2 linked regions of the Struthio camelus genome follow. The protein of the gene in region 2 interacts with the protein of the main gene of each other region in a biochemical or structural test. Links are inferred from orthologs where the notes say so. Each region holds a gene or a part of one and is shown on either strand. Other genes may lie near its edges.

Region 1 (7,997 bases), on a different chromosome or scaffold from region 2:
GCAACCCCGTGTCCCCATGCAACCAGGCCCCTGCCTCCCGTGTCCCCGTGCACCCCGTGTCCCCGTGCAACCAGGCCCCTGCATCCCGTGTCCCCGTGTCCCCGTGCAACCAGGCCCCTGCATCCCGTGTCCCCGTGTCCCCGTGCAACCAGGCCCCTGCATCCCGTGTCCCTGTGCACCCCGTGTCCCCGTGCACCCCGTGTCCCCGTGCAACCAGGTCCCTGCATCCCGTGTCCCTGTGCACCCCGTGTCCCCGTGCAACCAGGCCCCTGCATCCCGTGTCCCCGTGCACCCCGCGACCCGTGTCCGGCCAGCCGCTGTGACAGGGGCACCCCTCACCCCGCGTGTGCCCATGTGGGCACGCGTGTGCCAGCCCCCGGCCCGGGGCTGGTGGCACGTGTGCAGGGGGACACGCGTGGGCCGGCCGGGCCACGGCATCCGGGGGGGATGGGCGAGGGGTGGGGGAGGGGAGGGGAAGTGAGTGGGGGAGGGGCGGTGCGGGGGAGGGGTGGTGGGGGAGGGGACGGGAAGGCGGTGGGGGAGGGGCTCATTTACAGTCAAAGACAAAATGTCCTTTTGGCTCAGCGGGGAAGTGACATCACGGGGGCTCGGCCAATGGGCGCGGGCGGGGGTCCGCGCCTCATCCGCACGCCACCAGCCCATTGGCTGCCGCGCCGGGCCCGGCCGGGCGGGGCTGGGGCATCGCCCCCCGCCCGGGGGGCCCAGGCGTCCGGGGGGCGGCGGGCGCCCAAGGTGACCCCGGCCGGGCCCCCCGGGCACGTGCGTCTCTGGGCAGCGCTCCCGAAATAGCCCCGGCGCTGGCGGGGCCCCCGGACGCCTGGGCCCTGCCCGTGGCCCTCCCCCTCCGCAGGCACGGCTGCAGGGAGCTTGGGCGCGCACACGGCATGCACACGCACGGGGCACGGGCATGCACAGCGCACGCACACGCATGGGGCACGCACACGGCATGCACACGCACGGGGCACGGGCATGCACAGCGCACGCACACGCATGGGGCACGCACACGGCATGCACACGCACGGGGCACGGGCATGCACAGCGCACGCACACGCATGGGGCACGCACACGGCATGCACACGCACGGGGCACGGGCATGCACAGCGCACGCACACGCATGGGGCACGGGCATGCACAGCGCACACACACGCATGGGGCACGCACACGGCATGCACATGCACGGGGCACAGGCATGCACAGCGCCCGCACACGCATGGGGCACGGGCATGCACAGCGCACACACACGCATGGGGCACGCACACGGCATGCACATGCACGGGGCACAGGCATGCACAGCGCACGCACACGCATGGGGCACGCACACGGCATGCACACGCACGGGGCACGGGCATGCACAGCGCACGCACACGGCATGCACACGCACGGGGCACGGGCATGCACAGCGCACGCACACGCATGGGGCACACACACGGCATGCACATGTACGGGGATGCACAGCGCATGCATACAGCACACACGTATGGGGCACACACATGCATGGCGCATCGGTATGCAGGGGGCACGCACACAGCACGCACACGCATGGGGCACAGGCATGCATGGGGCATGCACACAGCACACACGCTTGGGGCATGGGCATGCATTGGTGCTGGGCGTGCATGGGGCACGCACATGCATGGGCACTGGGTGTGCACAGGGGACAGGCATGCTTGGGGCACACACATGACATGCATATGCATGGGGCACACACACACATGGGCACTGGGCATGCACAGGGCACGCACACGCATGGGTGCTGGATGGGTGCGGGGCATGAGCGTGCACAGGGAACGCACACGCATGGGTGTTGGGCATGCACATGCATGGGCGTTGGGCACGCATGGGGCACGCACATGCATGGGTGCTGGGCACGCACAGCGCATGGGCATGGACAGGGTACGCACACAGCACGCACACACATCGTGTTGGACATGCATGGGACACACACACAACATGCACACGCATGGGCGTTGGGCATGCACGGGGCACACACGCCTGGGGCACGCACACGTGGAGCACGGCCGTGCATGGCCTTTGGGCACGCACAGGGCATACACAGAGCACGGGCACGCCTGGGGCACAGGTTTGCATTGGCTGCAGGCGTGCCCAGGCTGCAAGTGTGCGTGGGACACGCGCGGGGCAGGGGCTCGTGCGGGCTTTGGGCGTGCACGGGGCATGCGGAGGACATGGGCTACGAGCATGCAAGGCACAGGCGCGGCTTGCAGGCGTGCATGGAGCACGGGTGCGCACAGGGCACGGGTGTGCACGGGCTGCGGGTGTGCACGGGCTGCAGGCACGCACGGGGCGCAGGTGTGCACAGAGCACGGGTGTGCAGGGGCTGCAGGCGCGCATGGGGCACAGGCGCGCATGGGGCACGGGTGTGCATGGGCTGCAGGCACGCACGGGGCGCAGGTGTGCACAGAGCACGGGTGTGCACGGGCTGCAGGCGCGCATGGGGCACAGGCGCGCATGGGGCACGGGTGTGCACGGGCTGCAGGCACGCACGGGGTGCAGGTGTGCACGGGCTGCGGGCGGGCACGGGGCGTGGGTGTGCACAGAGAACGGGTGTGCACGGGCTGCAGGCGCGCATGGGGCACGGGTGTGCACGGGACACGGGTGTGCACGGGCTGCAGGCGCGCATGGGGCACGGGTGTGCATGGGCTGCAGGCGCGCATGGGGCACGGGTGTGCACGGGACACGGGTGTGCACGGGCTGCAGGCGCGCACGGGTGTGCACAGGGCACGGGGATGCACCGGGGCGGACACGCGCGGGGCACGGGGGGGCTCGCCCGGGGCTCCCGGCTGCCGCAGCAGAGGGGCAGCCGGCGGCGCGGCGGGGGGCCGGGGGGGGCCTCACCGGGTGTCCTCTGGCTCCGACAGCGGGTCCAGGGTGCTGGGCTTCTGTTCCATTCACCGCAATTCCATCAAGGAGCGCTCAGCACCGTCCGAGGGGGCTCCGCCACCGGCGCTGGGCGCGGGGGGGCCGCGGCGGGCGGCTACGACGCGCGCCCCATGGCGCCCGCCTCAGTGCTCAGCTCCGCGCAGCATCCCGCGGCCCAGCCTGCGGAGGGAGCCCGCCGGCGCCCGCTCAGGCCTGCACCGAGCTGCGCGAGGCCTCAGCGCGCCCCGTGCGCGGGTTGCGGGGTTGGGGGGGGGGGGGGGCCAGGCGCGAGCGGGCCGGGCTGAGCCCCGACGCGCTCGGCTCATGCGTGGCCCCGGCACCGGGCGGGGGAGACTTACGGCGGCGGGGGCCGGCGATCCCTCCTGGGCGAGCTCTCCTGCGGCAGAGACGTGGCGGCGGTGGGGGCCGGGGCGGGGGCAGCGCCGCCCGACCCCCCCCCCCCAAACCCCTCCGCGATGGGGGAAACTGAGGCAGGTGGCGGGGGCCCCCCGCGCCGCCCCGGCCCCCCCCCCCGCACGCGGTGCACGGCTGCGTCCCCCCCAGCACCGGGGCGGCGGCGGGGGGCCGGGCAGGCGCCGTGCCCGGCCCGCGGGCTCCTCCGGCTCCGAGCGGGGACAGGCAGAAAGTAGGTCACGTTTGTCTTGGCCGCGGCAGAAATTCCTCCGGCGGATTTAAAGCGCGGCTGCGGCCGGGCCGCGCCGGGGCACCGCTGCGCCGGCACCGGGGAGCTGCCGCGGGCCCGGACGGCGCCGGGCTCCCCTGCGCCTGCCCCCGGCCGGGGCTCGCGGCCGGCGCGACCCTCCCCATGCGTCGCACGAGGCTCTCGCACGAGGCTCTCGCACGAGGCATGCTGCATCGCCCCGCGGCACGCCACGCGCCTGCGTGCATGCCCGCCCGCCGGCGGCCCCGGACGCCTGGGTCCCCTGCCCAGCTCCCGCCCCGGGTTGGGGCTGGGGGGGGGGCACAGCGCCCCACGCACGGCACTCCAGGCCGGGCTTTGGGGCCGGCCGCGGGCGGTACCTATAGAGCCAGCGCGGCGCGGCGGCCGGGGGCTGCAGCAAATGTTTGTTCCATATGGGAACGCCGCGCGGAGACTTCCAAGTATAGGCACTGGCTGGGTGCCAGGGCTGCGCGCGGGCCCGCCGCCCCGCGGGCACCCGGCCCCCCCGGCCGGCCCCCGGGGCCCAGGAGTCCGGGGCGGCCCCGTCCCTGCTGCGGGGACCCGGCCAGCAGAGCCCTGACCCGCTCGGCACACGCGTGGCGCTGGCAGATGCCCGGGAAGGTGCGGCGCCGCGGGGTGAGGGGGGTAAAGCCTGGGCTCAGGGCGGCTGCGGCGGCGGCCGGCGAGCTCCGGGTGCCGAGGGCCGCGGGGCCGTGTGCCGCGGTGCCCGCAGGAAGCGGCGGCGGCGGGCGGGCTGCGGCGCTCGAGGAATCCCGCCGGCGCGGGGCGGCCGCGGCAGACGGACACGGGGAGGCGGCTCTCCTCCTCCTCCTCTTCCTCCTCGGTGCGCCGCGGGCCCCGTGCCACCGGCACCGTCTCCCGCTGCCTGCGGGCAGCAGAACGGGCCACGTGTAACGAGCGCCGTCAGGTCTCAGCCCCCCGCGGCGCTGCCCGGGCTGAGGCCGGCGGCAGTGCGCGCGGTGATGCCGGGCGCCCCGAGCCCCCGGGCCGGGTGCTCCCGCGCGGCCGGCGTCGCTGCCGGGACCGGCTGGCCCAGGGCGGGAGCGCGGGGACCCGGCGCAGCGCCCGCAGGACCCCGGCCCGCGCCCACCGCCCGGCCCGCGCCCCGCCGGGGTTTCTGCTGAGTCGGGCGCTTGCAGGAGCTGGAAAACAACCCGGGGGCAAAGTCCAGGGCTGGGCCGGCGGCGGGAGCCGCGGCACGCGGGGGGCACGGCCGGGCCGCGCCGGCACCCGTGCCCGGCCCCGCGGCGCCCCGGCCAGATGGGCGCCGGGGTCCCAGGCGTCCGGGCGCCCCCTCCCCCCGGCCCAGCTGCTATCTGGGTCACGGAGGTGAGGGCCTAAGCGCTTTAGCCAAGGTGCCAATTAGCGCGATTAGCGCGGGGCTGGGGGCAGGGCGCCGCGGCCGGGCCCCCGCCGCCCGCCCGGGCACCGGCACGGGCACCGCCACCGCCGCTCTGCAGCAGCGGCTCCGGCTGCGACCCGCAGCGGCGACGAAAGGGCCGCGGGAGCCCGGCGGGGACGGACGAGGGGCATCCGCGGCGGCGCCTGGCCCACCAAAATGCACCGCCTGCGCCCTGCACGGCCCGCTCCCCGCGCCTGCGTCCCCGTGCGGTGCAGCGGGTGCCCCATGCGGCCCGTGCAACACGTGTGTCCCGGCGCGGTGCAACGCACCCAGCACAGCCCGGCGCTATCCGTGCATCCTGCTGCGGTGCAATGCACCCGGCACAGCCCACCACTGTCGTACATCCCGGCGTGGTGCAACGCACCCGGCAGAGCCCGGCGCTATCCGTGCGTCCTGCTGCGGTGCAACGCACCCAGCACAGCCCGGCACTATCCGTGCGTCCTGCTGCGGTGCAACGCACCCAGCACAGCCCGACGCTATCCGTGCGTCCTGCTGCGGTGCAACGCACCCGGCACAGCCCGGCGCTATCCGTGTGTCCTGCTGCGGTGCAACGCACCCGGCACAGCCCGGCGCTATCCGTGTGTCCTGCTGCGGTGCAACGCACCCGGCACAGCCCGGCACTATCCGTGCATCCTGCTGCGGTGCAACGCACCCGGCACAGCCCGGCGCTATCCGTGTGTCCTGCTGCGGTGCAACGCACCCGGCACAGCCCGGCGCTATCCGTGTGTCCTGCTGCGGTGCAACGCACCCGGCACAGCCCGGCACTATCCGTGCATCCTGCTGCGGTGCAACGCACCCGGCACAGCCCGGCGCTATTCGTGCGTCCTGCTGCGGTGCAACGCACCCGGCACAGCCCGGCACTATCCGTGCGTCCTGCTGCGGTGCAACGCACCCGGCACAGCCCGGCGCTATCCGTGTGTCCTGCTGCGGTGCAACGCACCCAGCACAGCCCGGCGCTATTCGTGCGTCCTGCTGCGGTGCAACGCACCCGGCACAGCCCACCACTGTCGTGCATCCCGGCATGGTGCAACGCACCCGGCAGAGCCCAGCGCTATCCGTGCGTCCTGCTGCGGAGCAACGCACCCGGCACAGCCCGGCGCTATCCGTGCGTCCTGCTGCGGTGCAACGCACCCGGCACAGCCCACCACTGTCGTGCATCCCGGCATGGTGCAACGCACCCGGCACAGCCCGGCGCTATCCGTGCGTCCTGCTGCGGTGCAACGCACCCGGCACAGCCCACCACTGTCGTGCATCCCGGCATGGTGCAACGCACCCGGCAGAGCCCAGCGCTATCCGTGCGTCCTGCTGCGGAGCAACGCACCCGGCGGTGCCCGACACTGTGTGCACGTGCCGGCACAGCGCACGCACCCGGCGCTGCGCGTGCTTCCCAGCGCGATGCCCGTGCCCGGCGGTGCCCGGCCGGCACCGGGGCGCCCGTGGCAGCGGGGCCGCGCGGCTGCGCGTGACTCAAGGCCGCAGGAATCCCAGGCATGCGGCGGCAGCTGGGCAGCCGCGCGCCGGGGGATGCCATGCGCCTGACATCAGGGCCAGGGCGACCCCGGGGCACCCCGAACGCCGCGGCCGGGGGCGCCCATCCTACCGCGAACCGCGGCGGGACCGAGCCGCAGCGGCAGCTCCGGCTGGACGCCCGGCTCCGAATCCCGCCCGAGCGCAGCCCGAGCGCTTTCGCATCGGCCTCGGTTTCCCCGTGCCGCCGGGGCGCCGAGGGGAAGCGCGGCAGGCGGGCGGGCGGGCGCGGGAGCTGCCGCGCTGTGCCGCGCCGCCCCCTCGCACGCCGGCGCGGCAGGATGCGGCCGGGCCCCCCCGCCGGACGCCCGTGCCCACCGCGGGCGCCCCCGGCCCGCGCCGCCCCGCGGCACGCAGCACCAGCGCGGCGGCGCCCCCGGGCTCGGCCGCGGGGCGCCTGACGCGTGACGAGCGGCGGCGGGCTCAGCGGCGGCGGCCGGCGCGCCCGCGGGTGCCGAGCCCCCGGGGTGCCCCCGGGGGGGCCGGGCCGGGGCCGCGCGGGGCGGCGAGCGCACGCAGGGCGCCAGGCAGCTATTCTGAGCGCGCTGGGGGAGGGGGGCTTGGCAGGGCGAGCGCGGCGTTGCTAAATCGGGGAAGGAGCGGGGGCTCCGGCTCGCGGCCGGCCGGGACGCCTGGGTGCCCGCGTGGCCGCCGGGTGCCCCGGCCGGGCGCCCGCCCCGACCCCCGAACTCTGGCCGGCCGGGGCGGGCGGGCGCGTGCCCGACGGGAGCCCCCGGCTCCCTCGACGGCTGCCGACGCCGCTCGGCACGGCCGGGCCGGCACCCCGGCGTCCTGCCTGCGCCCGCCTTCGCCCTCATCGCAACACCCTCCTCCTCCTCCTCCTCCTCCTCCAGCGCCTGGAAGAGGACCCAGGCGTCCTGGCCCCGCCCCCCCCCCCCCCCCGCATTTAAGGCATTAAACAACACACCCCGCGCCCCACGGCAGCCGGGGGTCCCGCGGGGCCGGGGCTGGGCCCCCGCGGCCGCCCCGTCCCCTCCCGTCCCGTCCCGGCTGGCGCGCGCCTGCTCCAGGCTTTCCCGGCAGCCGCGGGAAAGTGCGTGGCGGAGCGGGGAGGGGGCCGCTTCCTGGTGCTGCGCCCCCCCGGAAGGGCCGGGGCCGGGCGCCCGCGGCCCCGCAGCACCCCGCGCGCAGGGGGACGCCCGCCGGGGGCGGCAGGGGGGCGCCCGCCGGCCGCCGGGGCTCGCGCCGCCCTTGGCGTGAGTCCGGCCCTGCCCCACGGCGCAGCGGGGGTGGCCGCGGCGGGGGTGCCAAGCACCCCTGGCCCTCGCCGGCGCGGGGACCACTCGGCACCGGGCTGCAGCGCCGGCGCGCCGCGCAGTCGCCCGCGCCGGCCCAGGGGGCTCCGGCCGTGCCCCCGGCAGGTGTCCGTGCAAGGATGCACGCGCGCGTGCAAGGCCCCGCGCCGCGGAGGGAGCCGTGCCGTGCCGTGCCGGCGGCTCCCCGCCC
Region 2 (7,947 bases):
GTAGCTTCTATACTGACATTAATTCTGTCTCCGTTCTAGGCAATATTATAAAAGGGGGGAAGAGAGAATAACAAGCCCATAAAGTGATTGGCTCAGACAATCTTCAAATGCAGTAGCTAACTGGATATGTAACTCATACAAGACGACCCTTGAGGAGGGATGGACAACACTATAGGGAAAGGAAACATCCTAAAAAAAAAAAAAGCTCCTGTTCTGTTCAGCTGAGTGAACAAGTCTCTGATTTCATTAGTTCTGATATTCTGAAAATCATACCAATAAAGTGGATCCTATTCTCAAGCATGCACACTTCTAAACACATGAATGCAAAAGGAATAGCTTTTAGAAAGTCTGCGATTACTCTAAATTTGAACTGTAAGCAGCATAATGCCAGATCATCGTTAAATTAAACACGAATCGCTTCATTGTTCCAACTACATGAAACGCAGCTTAACGATAGCATTTACAGGAGCACCAGCAACATCTCTTGACATTGCGTACATCAATTTAAGTAGGTACTGCCCCTATCCAACCAAAACAGCGCCACACACAGCACAGGCAGAAAAGGCATTTGAGGAGCCATTGTATTTGATGTGGTAGCTCTATAAAAGCCTCTTCTCTTCCTGATGATTGATGAACAAATAAATCTCTAGGGCTCAATCTCCTGTGACACATTTAAGTAACTGCCAGAAGTTGCAAACTACTTGTGTCCAACTCTATAGGGCTGGACGTTATTTGGATTATTTAGTCTGGGGACTATGATCACTAATATAAGCAACATTCAAGGTCAGTTACAAAATTTGACACAGATTCTTCCACTCTAAAATACTCAGAATCTCCACAGGCTCAAATGTGAGAGAAAAAATATTCTTTTATTTTATGAGTAAAATAAAAATTAAAACAAATATTAGACATTTGGCTCCATCTTAGTCCCTCACATTAAGTCAAGAGCAATAATTTATTAATCAACATTCAAGAAATCCTTATTACATATGACAGGTTTTGGAGGGTTTTTGCTTTCTTATTTAAAAGACCTTCAAGAACAATCAGCTAGTGAAATATTCTGACAGACTGTTTTGACATATTCATTTGATTTGCGTACTAAAGCAAAAGAAGTTGCGTTCTTCCATTAACTTGAAACATTTTCACATTCTTCAGTGCTAAGTAGATTTAAATTTTTCAGTTCTTGTAATAGCATATTCCATGGTAATACATAATCTGCTAAAACAGTATCGCTCCCCAGAATAGACCTTTTCTTAAGGGATCTCAGTCTGAATAGCATTGATAAATTCTAAGATGATCAGCATTGTAAATTTTCTTAAAAACAGAAAACAGCAAGGATTTTATTGTGGAGAGTCCCCGTAAACAACCAAACTCTCTATATTAGTTTACTTCTGGAGATAAGGCAAGCATGGTGCACTTGGAGAAAACCAAAAGAAAATCTCTTGCTTCATAATTTTCCACATAATGGCAGTACTCTGTTGCTCTAAAGCACAATCACATTTATTGTCTTAGAACAAATGTAATGTTTTCATGATTTATTTCAGCAAAATGGAAGTGAAGCCCAATGATACAAAAAGAAACTGACAGCCAATGGTACATACAACAAAAAGTACATCAAACTTCAGCTGCTGAACAAAAGGCAAAGCTCCCAAATCACTGGTCACAACAGCAGAAACCTTTTAAAAAGATAATTTTTGTGCATGACTGATTCTACTGTCGCTACCTTGCACTGACAAAGCTGCATAATAAACTCAGCAACATCTGAGTGTAGCTTCCCTCACATTGTCCCTGCAGGCATTTCTGGGCATTTCCAACCCATGGGGAGAAGTCAAAGGCTGACCATGCGCTCATAAGCCTGACAGGTACAGGGAATAAATCTTAGTGTGCTGCAATTTACCATACACATTTTGCAAGGGGACTTAAGAACAGGCAGTTTATTTAGGTTTATAGCAAACTGCTGCAGTCATCTGACTGCAAACAAACAAAAACAGCTACTTAATTCTGTATAAGTGATCCTGAACGTGCAGCGACAAAGCAGCCCACTTGAGTTACCTTCTGCTGAAAAGAGCCGGTCACAGCGTGGGCTCAAGGGACCGACTCGCACTCAGCAACCAACAGCAATTGTCAACTTGAACTTATGAATGAGCGATCACTGCCTTTCTATTGCTTTAGAAATATCCACAGCGCGGCTTTACGAAGGCATTCGACAAGGGCCCATTGCACCCGTTTTCAAAACAAAGGATTTTACCAAAGGGTTTGCAACAGTAAGACTCAGTTAACTGCACCTGAAATATTAAACAGGTCTACAGACCGCGCTTACTTTGAGAGAGCGACTGTGCCACTTCAACTGTTTTTTATTCCTTGCTGGCAGTCACAGACAGATAAATCTACAATGGGAAGGTAATGTTTTAATACTTGCACCAGGCTCAGATGCCACCGTGTGAGAAATACTGTTTGGGTTTGCCGTTCTTTTTTTTTTTTTTTTTTTTTAATAATCCTAAAAGCATAATATTTCTCACAGCCAAAGGTAAATGAGGTTATGCAAAATACTTACTTCGAAAATGCTCCGAGGCATAATAATAAACATCCTCATAACCCTCATGGTAATCCTCCTCTGGCCGGTACTTTTTGCCTTTTCTTCTTCTCGATCTTCTTATCTGCTTGACAAAGCCCAAGAAGCGCTCCATCTCCTCGGCAGCGGCACCAACTCGCAGCCCCTTCGCCCTTGGCTTCACAGACAGCTGTCCGAGCACAAATTAACAGCAAACACGCAGGCAGAGCTACACCTTTTGACCAGCCACTCCGGCACCATGAAAAAAAAAAAAAACCCTTCCTTATCTCAGCTATGAATAGAAAGCATATTCTTTTTCCCTTTAAAAAGGATGGGGGGGGCTTTATCAAATCTACTAGCTGGAATATTTCAACATGAAAATAGATAAAGGAGGAAAATATTGTAGTGAGAAGTGAATCTCTACATCTCAAGCAGTTATTAAACAAAATAGAAGAAAGTTGAAGAGATCTGCCTGCCTGCCAGCAAGAGGAAACCCAGCACTGAAATCTCCCTATCCTATGTCTCCATCATTTGAAGAGGGCTGGGAGGCGGGGATTCATGTTAGTCAATGGACTGAACCACATCTCGAGGCAAAATAGGTTTCCGATTGCCAGTTAAATCCTATCCTAGCATTTAAACGGGCACAAGCTCAGGACCTCGTTTGAGTTCGTTTGTTCTAAGAACAGGAAACTCGCTAATCCATTTTTGGCATCACATGTGCTGCATGAATAAATAGCAAAGTGGTTTAACCCATACACACAGCCCACTCACCGACAAGTGTGTGCTGAATGTGTTAATTGGAGCAGCAGGGAGAAAGCTCGGCAGCTGCTAAAAAATGACACATATACCCATTGGGCATTAGTATATTCTAATCACTGTTAGATCTAAATATTAAAATACACTTCACAGACAGGTTTCTTATGGAGCTGGCGAGGCTATATGGTGATAGGCAAACAAAGGAAGCAACATCATAAGCACACCATGCAATACTCATTTAAAATCCTAGCCGAGTTTTAAGAACTTTAAAATTAAGCTAAAGCAAGAGAAACTATCCTTTGCACTGAGTGACGCTAGTAGAAAGCCTGAAAAGGTGCCCAGGACGTTTTCTTACTACTCGTCTGAATTCCACAAGCATTCCCGAAGATAAGACTGGAATTTCATGGGCATTTCTGATGAAGTTTCCCTCCCTCGCAAGAACAAAAGCAGTATCTGCTCAAATTCTATCACGCTGCCATTTACCACAGAGTTTGCTTTGTAATTGCAGTCCAGCAAACCAAGGGAGGTGTCTATGCCAGCAGGACATCTCCTGGTGGCTGGCACAAGTCCAGAATCGATCCATCACCTCCGTCAAACCATGCACCGAGCATGGTCACCTGCATCCACGCTCTCAGGAAATGCCATTTCCCGCCTATGAATACGAGAAAGTCATAGAGTCTTCCCGTAAAATTGATTTTACAGGATCATCACCTGGAAAATGAAAACCACGCACAGGTGGCATTAGTTTCTGGTGATTCACTAGTTTGCAAAGAGCAAAGCAACGCAACTTAGAAAAGGGCATAAGAAGTAAAGCAAAAGCTAGGATTGCAATTTATCACCGCTTCAATAGAAGCATGAAGATATTGATCATATTGTAGTTGGAATTTTCTAGTTTTGCAACATGTAGAAGCAGTACAGTAAGCTGGATCTGCTGTCTGAGGGTGTTACACACAATGAAAGCAGGCAGGCAAACTCTTTTGGGGACTGTTCCAGCATCCCAGCTATTTTAAAATAAGACAGTTGCAGGAACACACCCATTTTAGCTGGTGAAGCTGACAAAAATCCTGAATGTACCTAGCAAGCTCTCCACAGGAATGTACTCTAATCTTCCTCGACCTCAGCAGCCCGTTTTTCCACTGTGAAGATGCAGCCACTATCATTGCTTGACGCACACACCCTGAGGTCACTACCAGAACTATTTTTAGTGTGGTTAACTTTTATAAGGAAGTTAGCTGTGTTTTGTTACATTCCTGTTTTTATCACACAGCTTATAACTTTCAAAGGATAAGAACTTACAGGGATATTACACACACACACACACACAAAATCTTTTGATATGGACCCCTACGAATGGAGGGCTGTATATTCTCAAGGTTTCCATTCAGATGTCTTTTCTGTGCTTTGCTACCAAGCAGCAAAAACATTGTTAGCATCACGAAACACTGAAAACAGCAACTTAGCCTAGAGCAGAGACAGCAGTCTCCTCTCTGGAAATGGAAATGATATTTTGATGCCATATTTACTCCCACAGAGCGTTCTCCCTGACACTTGTGTGAGGGACTTACCTTACTTTTAGGTAAGAAAGTTGCCTGTAGGTCAGAAACATTCATCTTTAAGACAGAAGTCTTGCAGTCAATGTTTTCTAAAGTTAAATTATAAATGTCGAGTCAAAGTGATACAGCTACTTAAAAAAAAAAAGGAGAAAAGTGGAAAACTTACCCTGTTTTAAACTGCCCCGTAAATGAGAGATGAAAACTGAAATCTGGCATATGCTTAGCTTTTGCCAAGTAAATATACCTTTCTCCAGTACCGCTGCTGTTAAACATGCTGTTGTAACAGAAGCTTGTGTTTGAGATGTGGATTCCACAGTCCTAAACACAGCCTGAAGAAAGCCAGTCCCCAAACAGATTTCAGGCCTTTCCATTGCAAGGCAAGCAAACTAAATAAGGAGGCAAGGTAGCAACCAAATTCTTTCAGCTAGCACAGTAAGCACCAGTTGTAGCATACCAATTGCCTCACCATTTTCTAGAGGAAAATCAATTTTCTTTTGGGTGAGTTCTGAGTTTTTGGAAAAACACATCTTTACCTTGCACAAAAGATCTTCCCCCCTCTCGCCTAGGCTTGCAAAGTGCACCACTAGGGAAGGATTCATTGGGCACGCTTATATTGCTCATTTAGTAAAGCAAAAAAAGGGCACTAAACTGTATTATTGTCAGCGGTCAAGGTAATGGCTCCCACATATCTTGTAAAGCAGGAAAGGGCTGAGAGGGAGCACTAGCGCAACTCTTTGCATAAGCACGGGGGAGTTCATGCTCTGCTGCTCTTCCCTGTGTCCCAGCAACTACCACTGCCAGTAAAGGCCAGGCCCCATCTCTCACCCCAGAGGTGCAGGAGCGGGTGCTACCCACCGCTTCTAGCCCACAGGCTGCCAGCCTGAGCAGCTCCTCATTTATGCACCTCTTTCCTTTTCTATGAACTTAAAGTGCAGAGATAAAGAATGTCAGGATTTGGGCTGGTTGGTTGTTTTTTAAATCTAGAACAACATGAGTTCATGACAGGATTTTCCCCTCCCTAAAATATTTTGGTATTTAGGGTAATCTAAAAAGAAGAAAACATCTCAACTGTAGACAATGGTTCTATATATTATAATAGTCATGAGTATCATGTGTTTTGCCATACTATAAAGCTTTCTGAACAAAACTTATGTTGCATATGCATTACATACTACCTTTACCGCTTTGTTGAGAACACTGGAGACATTCATTAGCTAATCCTTATGCCACACCTATAAATATTTTATAATAGTCCTACTTACAAATGTATAAGCAGAGAATTCAGTGTCACAGACATGGTTTACCGTAGTTAAAAAAAAAAACCAGCTTTTCTGCTGCTCAGCATTCCCTCTTCTGTAGCTCCTTGTGGTGAACAATTCGCTCCTTGATGAAAATGAACACAGATCCTGCAACCCTCTGCTTGAAAATGAATAAAAAGTATCCCAAGAGACTGACAAAAAGCAGGAACATACTAGATGCATACAACACCTCTAGAAAGGCATCCTGATTTTATGGGGGGAGCAGAGGAAGAAACAAAGATTGACATTGAATTTTTTAACATGCAAAACATCAGATATGACAGCGCATTTCATCCCATAGTGACAAAGAGAATAGGATAATTGCACCCAAAGAGCATAAAATAAGGTGTCAGCTGATATTCTGAGGCTTTCTCTGCATTAGAATTTGGGGATCAGTTTTCTTGCGGTCAATGCCACAACAAAAGTTGCAATGTAAATATGACTAAAATTCTTTGGCTCATCCTTTCTCCAGGAATACATCTACTCCAAACAAAGCAACTGCTCTGTTGATATTTCCAAAGTGGTTTGCTTAGAAAACGCAAGGATAGCCATGCTGCCTCCAACATCATGTTAAAAAATTTTGCCAGGTGACAGCAGGTGGATAATAATATTGCTTTATCCGTTCTGATAATTAATTTGTTTAACGTAAGTTACCAGGAACCTCTATCAAACTTGACCTGACTCAGGTTAGTGACTTACTGGAAAAGACTTCATGTCAGTAATCAAATATACCAGCCCGACACTGTCCTTTTCCAATAGTTAAGCTGGGGTGTAAATGCTTCTGCAGAACCAAAATAGGCCGCTTCTACTGAAGATAGATATCAGTGTTTAGGCTTGCCTTTGTATCCATAGCAAAGATTGGTTTTACATGTAAATGTAAATGTACCTGTAAAATGCATACATCCAACTTCTTACTTGCACAGAATTAGATGTGCAGTTATCTAGGTAAAATTTCACAAGCGACATACTTGTTTTCTGCAGCACTTCTTCCAATATTTGGGGAAAATAATAGGGAAAATGTTTTGGTATCCATGGATAAGCCCTTAAGGTAGTAAATATTTATCAAGGATTTCTATCTGAGTGGGCTTGCAAACCTGGTACTTTGAAATCAGAATTCTAAGTATGAAATAGGCCTCTACGGTTTAGTACCATAAATACAGAAGGGAATTGGTACGAAGTGTTAACTGTTTTAAGCCACTATTTTCTCTTCCATTCATCATTGTGTTCTAGTGTTTAAAAGAAAACATCTTAGCTGGAGGTTCCCACCTGTATCTCCCCTTGCTTCTCTGGGGCTTTGCATGGCGGGAAGGAGCACTCTCTCCAGGACGTGACCATGCAAGGGAACGCAGAAAGGCAGCGGGAGAGACCTGTGTCAGGTTACCTCTTGGGACAAAACACAGAACTATAAATGCAAAAATAAAGATGAATATAAACAGCTTATGGAAGTTGTCTGAACACAGGAAATAGGGCTATTTTTCCCTCTTTCCTCCTCCCCAGAACCCAAAAAGATATTGCAACCTCAAGAGAGAAGAATGGACATTTTCTTTTCTAGCTCTCTTTCCACTGTGGGATGTGTTTTTGATAATCTGATGTTGTTGTTTGTGGAGACCAGCAATAACAGAGAAAGGATCTTCCAAAAACAGTTCTCCTTATTCGTTTTACTGTGTCATCTTGCCTGACCTTCCAGTTTTTCAAGAGCAGATGTTCATTTAAATGTCATAAGTCCTCACGTTAAGGCTGCAATTTTCCACTCAGAATTTGCCCTGAATACCTTAGTGTAAATCATGAC

Evidence for each region.
Region 1: the proteins of GRIP1 (region 2) and THRA form a complex in vitro, tested with the Homo sapiens proteins (2 studies listed by BioGRID). The link is inferred for Struthio camelus from reciprocal best matches to the Homo sapiens genes GRIP1 and THRA.

Annotation. Positions count from the first base shown.
Region 1 is NC_090966.1:6,798,755-6,806,751, reverse strand, and holds the start of THRA (thyroid hormone receptor alpha), read right to left. Parts: upstream 3,079-7,997; 5' UTR 2,928-3,078; coding exon 2,875-2,927; intron 1-2,874.
Region 2 is NC_090942.1:39,757,847-39,765,793, forward strand, and holds the start of GRIP1 (glutamate receptor-interacting protein 1), read right to left. Parts: upstream 3,036-7,947; 5' UTR 2,688-3,035; coding exon 2,555-2,687; intron 1-2,554. UniProt on the Homo sapiens protein: May play a role as a localized scaffold for the assembly of a multiprotein signaling complex and as mediator of the trafficking of its binding partners at specific subcellular location in neurons.